2 linked regions of the Lonchura striata genome follow. The protein of the gene in region 1 purifies or fractionates together with the protein of each later gene. This does not show direct contact. Links are inferred from orthologs where the notes say so. Each region holds a gene or a part of one and is shown in the gene's direction. Other genes may lie near its edges.

Evidence for each region. The genes of interacting proteins can lie anywhere in the genome.
Region 2: the proteins of UBAC2 (region 1) and TBC1D15 purify together in Homo sapiens (affinity purification with mass spectrometry; 3 studies listed by BioGRID and IntAct, counting the BioPlex papers as one, with this or other methods). This does not show direct contact. The link is inferred for Lonchura striata from reciprocal best matches to the Homo sapiens genes UBAC2 and TBC1D15.

What each region holds. Positions count from the first base shown.
Region 1 is NC_134604.1:78,098,793-78,106,140, forward strand, and holds the start of UBAC2 (ubiquitin-associated domain-containing protein 2), read left to right. Parts: upstream 1-4,319; 5' UTR 4,320-4,387; coding exon 4,388-4,418; intron 4,419-4,898; exon of another isoform or gene 4,899-5,038; coding exon of another isoform or gene 5,039-5,045; intron 5,046-7,348. UniProt on the Homo sapiens protein: Restricts trafficking of FAF2 from the endoplasmic reticulum to lipid droplets.
Region 2 is NC_134607.1:45,544,465-45,551,591, forward strand, and holds the start of TBC1D15 (TBC1 domain family member 15), read left to right. Parts: upstream 1-4,080; 5' UTR 4,081-4,149; coding exon 4,150-4,176; intron 4,177-7,127. UniProt on the Homo sapiens protein: Acts as a GTPase activating protein for RAB7A. Does not act on RAB4, RAB5 or RAB6.

The sequences.
Region 1 (7,348 bases):
GGATTTCAACCTTCATTGAAATAAATTTATTGAAAATAAATGTGACATGGAATTTAAGTACCTTTAGGCAGTGTTTTACAAGTACTTAGAGACCAAGCTGCTGATCAAGTGCTTGGTGCTGCACCTTGAACACAGAGATGCCAACATCTGGGTGCATTTGGTGCCAGTGCTTAGGATCACATGACTGATGGTTAAAAGGGAAGTGATGGTTAAGACCTGCAGTGTAAAACTGTATGTGGCTCAGCTCCAGATAAGCCAGTACCTTAAATTGTTACTGCATTGTCATTGCTTGCCATTCAGGGGGTCCAGCTGAAAAATGAGGCAGTGATGTGTTTGAGTAACTGAAGCAATAGTTTCCCACATTCATGTTACCAGGCACTGACATAGCATTCAGGTTTAAAATAGCATTTTAAATTTTGCAAAAATCACATGGCGAGAACCTTAACTAATGGAACATGTTAGAGTGTCCTAAATTTTTTTATAATAGTGTGATGGAAAATCAATTGCAAAAATATACAACAAAGCCCAATACTCCTTCAGGAACTCCATTGCTCCTTATTAACGGTACGCCTACCAGCTCTACTTGGAAAGAGCTAAGCTAGAAAACATTCTGTATCTTCTAGCTCCAGTAAAAAAACCCAAAACTATGTAATGAAATGTTAGACACACACTAGACTTTAAGAGGACAGGTCTGCTGCAGCATAAAGTATTTTTCACTTCCGAATGAGTGAAAGAAATTCACTAATTTTGGAAAGGTACAGGTCAAATCAGTCTGATTTCAGCAGAGTGAGTATCTGCCTTCTGTCCTTCCTCCTGTTCCAATGCAAGCTGCTATCAGCAAGCTGCTATCAGCAAGCTGCACTGCTCCTGGATTTTTGCAGGAAATGTGTGTTGCACAGCTGTTTTCCTTAACATCTTCTGTAACCAAACACAAAGGTTAGAAACTGTAGGGAGGAGTTACTGAAATCATTAAATTTAGCATTAACCTCTATGTATCTGTTCATATTTCAGGTAATTGTAATAACTGCAAGAGCTGCTATGAATGCCTTGGAAACCCTAGATGTCAAAGAGACAGAGAACACTTGCAATTAACCTGCGGAATCATTAACCTACACCGAGTTTAGTCAGAAAATTCCTAAGCAAGGTGTTACATTTCCATCCTGTTTTACTCTGCTGCTGTCCTTCATTCTATATGCCAGAGGAGCATCTGACTGTTGGAGATTAATTAGTAATTAAGAATTGCTTCAGAAACATCACAAGTTCAGAGAAGAAAGCAACTTAATCATTTTAGAAAATAGCTAGAAATTTAAATTCCAGTCTCCTGGGATTTACTTTTGAGCAGGAAATTTAAATAACTTTCTTTTGACCATACCACATTGACCCCACTAACTAGATGTAATAAACAAATGGGAGATATTCAAGCTGACATTTGAGCAGTGTCAAAGCCTTCTAAGCTTGTTCTGAGTAGATTAGTAGATAAGTGCTAGCCTTCCTATTCTGGGATATGTTCCAAAGCAAGCATGAGGACTGATGATTTCATTTAACTCCAAAGTAGTCAACACTTTATACTTAACAATGCAAATAATTTGTTTAATTCTTATGACATGCTACCAGTTGACAGTGATGATGTTGTGATAAAAATACCTCTCTTCTCGGCACTGAATCTGAGGGCAAAAACTACATTTCCTCTACTATTCAATCAATATGTTAAACTATAATTATTAGCAAGGGATGTGCAGTTTTCTCAAAAATACATAGTGGATCTCATCTGCTGTAATCTCAGAAATATTGACTTTTTTTTTTTTTTTAAACAAGGGATAAAAACATCAGGGGTTTCACAGATTCTGAAATATATTTGTAGACATTTATAAGATAGCAGCAAATAGATTGAGAGACAGTTGCCTGTATTCCAGCAGTATTGACAAATTTGCAAGGGTTTTGGTTTGCCAGATATTGCTACTCATCCAGCTTTGCTGTATCTGTCAATGATAGCAAGGCCACAGAGCTGCTTTCAAACTGGCCCTTAAACATTTCCCAAATGCATCCTCATTCAGTGGAATACATGCCTAAGTCTCTAGTATGTTCAGTGATTATGACTTGAATCCAATTCCAGTGCCCTACATTGCAGAGAAGAATCCCTCTAATATGATTACCTAGCAGTACATCAATCTAGGGAAATCTTCAAAGCAGAGCCTATAAAACAGAAAAATACTAGGTCTTGGCTCTTAGGACTGTAAACTTCTAAATAATGATTGCTCTGTCACTCGATTCTGAGAGCCTGTGAAAAGAAAAAAAAAAACAAGCTTTATCTTCACCACTGAAACAACATTCCTAAACCTATTACAAAGGCAATTCTGGAAAAGTTTAGATACTGGATAGGTTTTATCCTCACCTATAGTAAAGCCAGATCCACAAAAAGGCTTAATTACTTTAAGTGGAGGTTAGTCGAAAACATTCAAAATCGTAATTAATTAAGCCATGAGTACCTCATTAGATCCCAGCTTCAGAAGGCACCCAAGCTTTTCCAAAGAGGTTTCACGCTGGAGCTCTTACAAGCTTTGCAGGCTTTGCACCTCCTTATTTACCTTCCATTTCTTAGAAATGAGGGTTGCCTGTCACTTTTGTGTGGTTACAGGCATTCAGCAGTGCACTGGCAAGACAGAGTTTGCATATGTAGCATACAGCAGCCACAGTCATTTGCATTTGAAAGAAAGAAGGAAAAATTCTGTAGCAAATAATTTCTTCCAGCTGTGCTTTGACAGCAGAGAGTAAGCTGGTTTTCTGTAGCCAAAGACACAAAGTATGTGATGGGTTTCATGCTGTGAATCCAATTTAGATTCTTTTCAGAGGAAAGAACCTCAACTTGGGATAAGTCAGGATTTCTAATGTGCTCTTTGTCTCTTCTTCCTGGCTGGTTTAGACATACCTTCTGCTCTGTGAGCGGATTATGAGTCCCAATCCCACCTACCTGATGCAGGCCTTGTACAGAGAGGACAAGTGAGCAACAGAAATCTGAAGTTAGTGCTGGAAATTGGCCATTTAAAAGATACATGCTGATATGCTAATCTTAGCTGAAGTCTTTGCGGACTGTCGCCTTGGCAGTATTTAAGAGATTAAATTTACAAAGTTTCAGGAACTCAGTACTCTGGAATGCTAGCTAATAATTGCATTTGAATGCAAATATTAAAGTGCATTTTTATGATATATTACAAAATTTATGGAATACAAGAAATATATTACTTACCTAAAAATTTTTATTATTGGTTGCCTACTTAAAAATTGTTACCTAGCTGACAAATTATATTTTGCAGTTCCAGAGTGGCATTGGTTTTCAGTCTTGTACTGCAGTAAGGTAAATGTGATTTGAGGCCCGCATTTCCATCATCACATGAACACAAAGTGCACACAGCTCGTGCTGCAAAGCACTGTCACCTTTTTAAATGCCTAGCATGACTTATTTCAGTAAAATCTGAGTTCTGCATTTTCATTGAAAATGTCAGTGAAATTTGGTGCCCTAATAGTTTCAGCCTTATGATACCATATCTCCTCTGAAATCGGGATTTCAGCTCACCTCATATGGTGAGCTGAAATATGGTGCCTACCATCCTGTTGAAGAGCTGGAGTCAGATGTGCCATCAGAGCCCGTGGTGATCTCTTCAATGTGGTCCCTTGGTGGAGCCTGGGGAGGAATTAATTTGATCCTAAAGCAGACACCTTCATTTGGCCACCTGAAAAGCTCTCCAAACTCCGCTGTCTGTATTAGCTCTGTCTCTGTTAGCTGTAATGACAGCTCACCCACAGCTCTAATGAGACATTTACCTGCTGGACTCCCCAAATCACGGTGAGCCTTGAGGGACAGTTTTCCCAAGTGCAAGGAGTCAGGCTTCCTCAGGGCACCTACATATTTAAAATTTAAATCGTGTTAAATCATGAAATCACAGAATAGTTAGGGCTGGAAGCGGCAGCTTCTGGAGATGGATTAGTCCAACTTCCCAGCCAAGGCAAGGTCCCCTGGAGCAGGTGGCACGGGAATGTGACCAGGTGGGTTTTGAACGCGTCCAGAGAGGGAGACCCCACGCCCTCCCTGTGCAGCCAGTCCCAATGCTCTGCCTCCCTCAGCGGAAAGAGGCTTCTCCCATTTCTGGGAGCAGGAGTGATTCCAGAAAACACACGCGCGCCGGAGCGCCGCCGCTCACCCGCCGGGCCCGGCAGGGGGCGCCGCCCTGTCGCCTGGCGGCGGCGTTTGGCCCATCGCGGCCGCCTTAGCCCTCCCCGCGCCGGCCCCGGCCCCGGCCCCGGCCCCGGCCCCGGCGCGCCGCGGCTCCTCGGGGGCTGCCGAGCTCGGGGCTCCGCCGGCCGCGCCCGCCCGCCGGGCCGGGCCGCGGCCATGTTCACCAGCACCGGCTCCAACGGCTTCTGTGAGTACCGGCCCGCCGCGGTCCGGGCGGGGCGGCGCCCCGGGGTGGGAGCGCGGGCGGCGCTGCCGCCGTCGGCCCCGGGGGAGCCGCTGCCTTCGGTCCTCTCTTGGCTGCACTTTTAAATTGTACGGCGGCGGGAGGAGCCGCGGGTGTGTCTGTGTGTGTGTCTGCCTGTGTAGGTGTGTGCATGTCCGTGTGTGTCTGTGTCTCTCTGTGTGTTTATATGTATTTGCATACATACAGACCTCCATGCCAAGTATCAAAAAAAGAAAAAAAACAAACCTATTTTCTTAATTTGAAATTAGACTTATTTTTAAAACCAGTTTATTGACAAGGCAGACGTAAGGACTAACGTGCCCGTAGCTCTGCTTAGCTTTATTTTTATGCACAGCATAATTATAATGTAAATAATTTCATGTCCCGGTGCTACCTGAACTGACTTCACAGGTTTCTGGGGCTGGCTCTGAGCTTGTTTTACAGGACACAGACTCTGCAGCGTCTGGAAGCAGCAGTGGGGAGCTGACCTGGCTGCAGTGTGCACTTGGGCACCACACACAGTCCTAAGAGAGGCGAGGACAAATGATACGTCAAAGCTTTGCTGCCTGCGTGCTCCTTACAGAATGGGTGGTACTGTCCGTGTGCTGAAGGGCAGGAGGGCTCTGCAGAGGCATCTGAGCAGGCTGGATCAATGGGCCGAGACCCAACAGTATGAGGGTCAAAACGGTCAAGTGCCAGGTCCTGCACTTAGGTCGCAACCAGCCCAGGCAGCACTACAGACCTGGAGAAGAGTGGCTGGAAAACTGCCCAGAGGAAAACGATCTGGTGCTGGTTGACAGCCAGCTGAACATGAGTCAGTGTGGCCAGGAAGGCCAATGGCATCCCGGCCTGTATCAGCAATAGTGTGGCCAGCAGGACCAGGGCTGTGATTGTCCCTCTGTACTCAGCACTGGTGAGGTCACATCTCGGGTACTGTCTCCAGTTCTGTGCCCCTCAATTTAGGAAGGACATTTGGGTGCTGTAGTATGTCCAGAGAAGGGCAGTGGAGCTGACGAAGCATCTGGAATGCATGTCCTTTGAGGAGTGGGTGAGGGAGCTGGGGTTGTTTTGGCTGGGAAAAGGAGGTTCAGGTGGAAGCAAAGTGAGGGTTGCCCTCTTCTCGCAGGTAACCAGAGACAGGACAAGACCCGAGGACTTAGCCTCAAGCTGTACCAAAGGAGGTTCAGGTTGGACATTGGGAGGAATTTCTTCACAGAAAGGATAATTAGATATTGGAATGGGCTTCCCGAGGAGGTGGTAGAGTCACCATCCCTGGAGGTATTTTTAAGAAAAGACTGAAATGTGGCACTCAGTGCCATGGTCTTGTTGACAGGATAGTGTTTGGTCACAGGTTGGATGTAATGATCTTAGAGGTCTTTTCTAACTTAATTGATTCTGTGGTTCTGTTTGAGTGTGAAAGCACCCTCTGACTAGGGGAGGAATATTTCTGGCATTTAAAAAGGGGTGTTAGTTGTAGCTGTATTTTCTGTGAGGAATCCAAAAAAGGGAAGAGTCTTTTTCAGATGGATCTGATAATACTGTGCCTTGATTTTCAGCTCCTGATTTTTTATCTCTCTCTGTGCCCCCAGTAGATACTATAGAGGGACTTTTCAATGGCATATGTCTGTGTATAATTTTATGAGAAAGAATGTAGGAGGAAGAGTATCCTTGTTAGACTGAATGGGTGGAGAGTCATGGTCAGTATTTACAAGTTTTTCCAGGTTTGATCCATCAGAAGGATGAGTGGGAAATGGTTGTCATAAGAAGCATATATGTGGTAGGGAAAAAAACTAGATATCATTCTGCAGAAAGAAAATCATAGAATATCCTGATCTGGAAAAGACCCACAAGGATTATCAAGTCCATCTTCTAGCCCCGCACAGGAGAGCTCAAGAATCACACCATGTGTCTGAGAGCATTGTCCAAATGCTTCTTGAACTCTGTCAGGCTGGTGCTGTGGTCACTGCCCTGGTGAACCTGTTCCAGTGTGTGGTCACTTTCTAGGCAAATAACCTTTCTGACCTAAACCTTCCCTGATACAGCTCCATACTTAGTGTTATGCTTTTTTTTTTTTTCCTTCTCAAAACCAAATACAACATATGTTCTTACTGAACTTACCTGTTGACCTAAAGTGGGTTTTTAAAATAAGATTTGGCTGGTATGGGTGCACTGACAAACTCCAGTAGAGGTATGGATTTAGGTGCAGTGACATATGCTCACCTAGGACACAACTGTGGCAGTTTCAGGTGTCCCTGTGCCCTCAGACTTGCTTCTGTGTGTGCAGCAAATCCCACACAGGAGTGTGGGATTCTGTCACTGATGCACAGAATCTGATTGTTCAGGTAGTTAATGAATTGGTGCCTGATGTTGCACCAGAGAACTGTATGTGTGTATTCTTCCCCTGGGGCTTGGGAACCTCTGGCAGAAGGCAGTGTCAGTGGATGAGGGGACCTGTATGAGTGATCCTGAATGAAATAAGTGGACACCTGGTTCAGCAGCAATAGCAATGATCATGCCAGGGCACACTGAAGGCTCCTGCAGCCTGCTGTGCCACCTCTGACAGACCGATTAACATCTATAATGGTGGAACGAGGAGATGTAAAAGTAAAAATAAACATACCTGGTACATGGTATGACTGTGAGATAGGGAAGCCAGGAAACAAAGGACACCACCTTCTTAAAGGACAAAGACAGTTTGCCTCTGCTGTGGAAATTGTTTCTGTTATCTGGAATATTGGAGGAGCTGGTATGCTCTGGAAAAAAGAGCCAGTGGCTCTGGGTACTAGTAGGAGACACAGTGCAGACATATGCAAATGGATTATAAGAACACCAACCCAGCTGAGCTGGATTGCAATGTGCTCAGGGGCATCCTGGCAGCACCTTTAGGTGGGCTG
Region 2 (7,127 bases), on another chromosome or scaffold:
TGGCTGGTGTGCTGTGACTACCTTTTATGTGACAGAAGTGTTAGAGCAGATGGTTAATTAAAATCCAACAAAGAGTGAGCCCTCAGGCTAAAGATATCCTCCTTAGATGCCCATTCCTGTAGCGTGTGAAATGTTGGACTTCAGCATAGAGCTACAGACTGTTCCATTGTTTTCTTAATAGGCTTATGGAGAAGGGAGAGGGACCTGCCAGCATCATGTCGGCCTGTGGAACTTGCTGTTGTGTATCATTCAGGTTTGTAAAGTGCAATAAGGTAATGCATCAATAATGTAGGTAGGGAGTAGTTTTGCACTAAGGTATCTGAGTGTCAAAAACTGTGCACAAGTCAGTCACGAGCCAGAAAATAAAGCCATCCTGGGCTCCATCAGGAAGAGCACTGCCAGCAAGCTGAGGGGTGATGATAGTTCTTCAACCCTCCAGAGAGAGTCCTGGAATGCTGGGTCTAGTGCTGGATGCCCTGGCAAAATGGAGACACTGACATCCTGGAGTGAGACCTATGAAGGGCAATCAAAGGCAATTAGGAGAATGGGCCATCTGTCATATGAAGAGACGCTGACAGATGTCAGACTGTTCAGTCTCTAGAAGGCTCAGAGGATCTTTTCAGTGTCTAAAAATAGATTATGAGAGGGAGTAAAGAAGGCAGAGCTGGTCTCTTTAGTGGTATTCAATGACAAAATGGACCCAAAGTGAAATACAAGAAATTCAATTTAAGCATAAGAAAAAGCTTTGGCATTCCAAAAGCAACCAAACACTGATGAAACAACTTGACTGAGGAGGTTGTGATATGTATATTCTTGAAGATTCTCAAACCTCAAACTTTATAAAGCCCTGAGTAATCATTTGTGATCTGCTCTGGGCAGGAGGGTTGGATTAGATGATCTCTAAAAATTCCTGCCAGTTTCAACCTTTCAGCAGTCCTTTGATAGAGCAACCTGGTAACAAAGAGTAATTTTGCTCCTCATCTTTAGTAACAATGTACACATTGTTATGCAATGATAATTTGCTAAACAACAAGGGAGAAGGCCCAAGATTGGGTAAGTAGCTATAAGATGGACATGTACATCTCATGGAGTAAATTGGTCTGTGGGACTGAGAGTTCTCTGAAACATACTGGCCTTGACACCAAGGTAAGTGGTGACTGGCATGCTGAGAGCAGCACAAATGGGATTTAACTTTTAATTTTTTATTTAGTTGACAGCTCCATGAAGGTCAGCTTGAGGAAAAAGCCTTTCATACAACTTGTGTGCAAATTTTACAAATAATAGGCAAAGTCTAGCATTGAGCTGACTGGGTAGAAGCAGGTCCTTTGGCAGTGAGTGAGAGTGGGCGGTAATTGTCCTAAAAATGAATAATGGCATTTTATCTTGGGCCCTGTAGAAGGGTGAGAGTGGGTAGATGAGCAGGAGGAATTCAGATGAGAGGGTTAAAATAATATGGACTGGATGATTGACACAAACATTCTGCAGAAGTCTGGACATATCAAAATGGTATTGGTCACTGTCAGCAAACAGAATGTTACAAGAAAAAATAATTAGCTGTGTGGATAGATGGGGAAAGTTATGATTTAGTGCTGTTGTACTAGAAAATGTCAGCAAGGGAGTTAGGTAAAGCATGAAAAAGTCCAGAATATTCTCTAAGGCTAAGGCATCAACCAAGCTGTGGGCCCTGGAGACATATGGCTATTGATATTGAAGAGAGAGAGATGACTGTCAAGAGAATTTGGAGGAAAGTAAAACTATTTTACTGTTAGCTGCCTACAATGATAAGAGATTTTAATTTGGATCACAATTAATTGCTATGGTAGAAATATGGTGATGAGTCATGTGATAAATATGTATTTATTGACACAATTTCCTACAAAGAAACAGGCTTTGATTCAATATGCTAATGAACAAGTCCAAGAGACAGGAGAACTAGAAGCTGGCAGTCATGCTAGTAAAGAGAACAGATCTCAAGGAGTCATTGCAGATTGTGGCTTGGCTAACAAAGTGGAAATGTGAATCTCAATTTTGAGCTTCTCCTAGGAAAGAAACCTTGACAAAGCAGTTTCATTGAAGAGCCAGAGTAGGGGATGCAATGGAACTAATCAAAGAAGTCCCTAGTGTTCATTGCAAATTATAGGGAGGTTAGAGATGAAAAGGAAGTGCAGAGGAAATAGGATTACAGATGGGTGTGAAACTCAGGTATGGTTACATTGCAAGGAGTAAGAAACAAAGGAAAAGGGTAGGAAAAGGAAAGGATCAAAATGAACACATGGGAGACCAAATGAGATGAAACTGATGTGGAAGATGGCTAAAACAATTGCACTCCTCAAAACAATTAATTTATGGTGATGCATTTTTAATGTGTAGCCTTCTCCCTTGTATTTACTGTGACACTAAATAATAAGGACACCATGTCCTTATTAAATTTAAATAAAAGGACCACCAAAGTTAAGGTGTCCATTTTTTGCTACACTGATACAGCTTTCCAGACCTAGGTATTACTACAAGGACTTGTCATCTGACTGTGTTTTTATTTAATTTTCTCATCTTTATGCATGCTTATATACAAAAAGTCACAACAGGCTTTTCCAACTTTGAAGCAGGTCAGTATTTGTCTTGAAAATTGCAAATCTGGTTTTCTGAGGTAAGTATGGTATGGGTATTAATGTAACTAAATGAGTTTTTAATTCAAAAAGTCACAAGGGAATTATAATGCCACTTTATGACAGAAATAAAAACCCCCAACTAACCCGTCCCAAAACCCAATAAATTACCTTTGCTCCTTCAGAGAAACAAATCACTTCCCTGCAGGCATCTCATTTGTCTGTTTCAAATAAACAGTGTTTGGGGATGTACTGTTTGCTCAAAATATCTGATGGTATTGTTGGAATATAACCAATGTCTTAAAAAACATCTTTATTATATTTCAGACGTTATGTGAGAGACAATTTTTTAAAAGTAATACTACACATAATATACTGTTTCAGATAAATAAGACCAATCAAAATCCATTGAGTTTTGCAGAATTGTTTTGGGCTTTATAAATCTGTACACGTATGAAAGCCGAATATTTGCTAAAATAGATGAGATTGTAATTAAGATTTTCCTTTGTACCTTGATGTGTTGAATGCATTATGTGCTAGAAACTACCATCTTGAAAGTACTGTATTTTTCACTAACATTAAAAATCTGGTGTATGAGTATTAGGGCAGCTTAGTAGTGCCTGTGGGTACTGTGATATTAACATTGAGATCTCATAGCACTTTCCAGTACCTAAAGGGGGTCTGAAAGTTAGCTGGAGAGAGACTTTTTGCAAGGGGATGACAAGGGGGAATGGCTTCCAACAGGCAGAGAGTAGGTTTAGATATTAGAGAGAAATTCTTTCCTGTGTGGGTGGTGAGGCACTGGGACGGGTTCCAAAGACGAGTTCTGGATGTCCGTCCCTGGCAGTGTTCGAGGCCAGGTTGGATGGGGCTTTGAGCAACCTGATTCAGTGGAAGGTGTCCCTGGCCATGGCAGCGTGGCTGGAGCTAGACGATCTTTAATGTCCCTTCCAACCCAAACTATTCTGTTATTCTATGACAACAGCGGAAAGAGAAAGAAAATAATTTGAGAGAGTATGATGTGTGTTTTATATCAACTATACAACATTGCTCAAGTTACAACTGCAATCTCAGGGAGCTCTGACGAAGAACAATCTCCTTTCCTCCTCGCCGCCGTACTCGCACGCTGTGGAGGGGTCGCCGCGGGGCCCGCGGCTGGGCACTGCAGCCACACTGGCCAGCCTCCCAGAGGGAGCGTGTGTGCTGGGATTCAACATGAGCGCCGGGCCGCGGCCACCGCTTCTGGAACGGGACAGCGCAGCCAGCCCCCTCCCGGGGCCGGGCCGCAGTTGGGAACGGGACAGCTCAGCCAGCCCTCGCTCCCGGTGCCGGGCCGCGGTTCGGCTCAGCCAGCCCTCGCTCCCGGTGCCGGGCCGCGGTTCGGCTCAGCCAGCCCTCGCTCCCCATTCACGGTCTTTCCGCCCCGGGCTCCGCCTGGCCCCGCGCAGTGCGCATGCGCGGCACGCAGCTGTGGCGCCGTTGTTGTGGCGCGGCGGGGAAGCACGTGAGGAGTGCTACGTCACCATAAACACTCGTGGGCAACATGGCGGCGGCGCCGCCGAGCGGCAAGGTAATGGGGGCGGGCGGCGGCGGCGCCGGCCTCTCCCGCCTCTCCCCCCGCGGGACGCGCCGTGTCGGGCGCTGGGTCACGCTAGCTGGCGGGAGTCGCGGGGAAGGGGGGTCGGGCCGCTGAATGGCGTGAGGGTGCCTTTTCTCCCGCCGTGCGGGTGTCGCCTGACGGGGCCGCCTCTCCGGGAACGTGCCGTCCTGGCCTCGGGCAGGCCGGGCCGGGCGCCGGCAGCGGCCGCGGGCCCTGAGCGCCGGAGGCCGAGGCGGCCGGCGGGCGGAACTGGGGCCCTTGCTGCACCTGGCGGCCGGGCAGCGCCCGGGCAGCTCGGCTCCGGCCCCGGGCGGCAGGAGCCCGCTCCGCCGCGGCCGGCAGCTCTGCGGCCGCGCTGGCTCTCGGCCCGAGGCAGAGGAACGCGGCTTGTCCCGTCTGCGTGGCCCGGAGGTGCTCATGGACGGTAGTGGCCTTTCCCCCGGCCTGCGCGCTGGTAGTGTGTGGGAACCTGCCCCCGGCGTGGGTACAAAGCCTTGTCAGTCCTATAATTTGGTAATTAAAAATTCTTTGTATGTCGTGGATCCTTGCCGAGCGTTCCGGAACGAAGCATTATTGCTTGGCAGGGACTGAGCTCGCAGGAGGGGGAGGTACAAGCAACACCCACTTTTCCCTCCGCCCCCGTCAACAGATGCGAATTGCGTCCGTATTGTTTTTTTGTAGAAATAGTTTTATTTCATGATTCTGTCTTCTGAAAGTGTTGCTTTGCAATGCAGTGTTCTCAAGCATGTGGACCCTTTATTTAGGATTTAAAATCTCGGTGTGGTGTCCGATTGTATGTAGTAGCCATGGTGAGTGAGTGTGTGATAGTCTGCAGTTTCACTTTTCCAGCACGGCGCAGAAGATGATCGTTTCAGTTCACGCTGGTCTCGGCATTTGAGAACACACGTCATTAGCCACGTCTGCGCTTCTCCGAGGGTGCTGAGGGCTGCCCTTAGCTATAGCACGAAAATCCTGTAGAGTTCTTTGTGCCACTTTACCAGATCCGTTTCAACCAGAATTGTTGGAGCAGGGAATTTCTGCAGCTGGAGCTTTTGCAACTTTATTTTTATGTTCTTTACTGCTGTTGAGTGTGTATATAAAAAGATAACCATACTGTCCTCCCAGCTGTTTCTACCTATGCACATCCAATTTTTATGTATACAGACAAGTTCCTTGTCTGGTTTTATCCATTTTAATATCAACACAGAAGTTTATTGGATGAACGGCAATATTTTAATTTTTTAGATAAATATTTTAATATTTTAATTTTTCAGGTTGTTTTTACTTTTCTACTTAGGCTTTTATCAGGATCTTCTTCAGAATGTCTCTTGTGAAAGCAGCTGTATTATGATGGTTTATATGAGATGTTAGAATGGTTGTGGATAGTTGTTTGTAAATTTGCTGTGTATTCTTTGTTCCTTTCCAAGAGCCCTGTTTGCCTAAGACTACATCTCTAAGACATTGCAAAACGGCTTTAGTTATGCCACATCCACAATACTAATGCAACTTCTAATTCAGTAACATTCTTTGCCATGTCTCTTTTAACACAGAGGAAAAATGACAGTTGTGTTTTCCCAAACTTCATGAAGTGGCTGGGCTGGTTTGACGTTTCACTGCTCTCAGGACCAGTTCCATCCTTCTCTGTATTTCCCCACCTGTGTGTTGCACTGTTGCTTTCTTGGATACTGTACTCATTTGATCTGCCAGGGATTAGATCTAGCAGGCTGAAATAATACATCCAGCTGTGCTTACTTTTATCTGGCTTAGTTTTCTGTTGGGAGCACATTGGACCACAAATTGTTCCTTTGAGTGGCAGCAAGATTTTGGAACGGCTTACAAACTTCAGGTGGAATAAATGCAGTGTAGGTTGGTACAGACCCAGTGTTCTCACTTCAGGCCTTTTGCACGTCAGTGTTTCTACAAGTTGTGGATGTCCCAGGTTAACTGCAGTGTTCCTTCTGGCTGTGCAATTTGTTGTAATGGGGTGTTTCAGATGGTAGCTTTCCAAAAGAACAATAGGTAGTTTGTGGGATGCTTTATTCTCATGTGGCAGATCTTATCACATGAAAGTAATGTATTTTAACGTATGTTCTGCTTTCTGCAAAATATTACACTAAGTGGTTCCCATGGAAAGCACATGGCAGTATATTAAGCAGCTGGGATAGCCTGCATTGTTTCAACTTTCACAAAGACTTGTTTTAGCAAACCATATAAGATTGTGGTTTCTATTATATTTTTACCCTGTTTGCCTTTCTCTTCTCTATTGCAGGTTTTTGGGGTTTTATTTGTTTGGGTTTTGTATTGTTTGTTTGTTTGTTTTTATTTCCAAGACATTATTTATATCAGTAGATTCAGAATCCAGCTATTTCATGTAGTCTCTGGTTTCTGCTCCATGGGATATGAATTAAAAATGTTGTTATCTCATCACTACTTTACTTGGACTTTTGTCCTGTTTTTTTTTTTTTTTTTTTTCCCTTGCTGGAACCTCTCATGAGGTTCTTATCAGTGTTTTTCTCTATATGGATGGTTAACTCGGTTCAGGAAAAGTTACTGCAGTTGAATTCTGGAGATGTGACTCATTCTTTATAAATTGCTATCTGCCCTAGAACAGTATGAGCTTCAGTTTTTGCCCTTTCTTAGAGTTGCTAGTTTTTTCTGGAAGTAACTTGGTAGTAAGGTCATTTATTTTTAGAGCTTTTGACTTCATGTAAATAGGTATATTTATATATTATAAACATATTATACTTTATGAAAACAAGTACATTTTCTCTCTTTTTATTACTTAAAAAATGGCAGTTTGCTTATTTTATTCAGAGACCCTACTCTGTATATAACAGAAAACTGTTAGAAAATGAGCTAAAAATTGTGTATGGGGAGAAGTACAAGCTTCAATTTCAGTCTGTCGGTATACAGGTGATTAT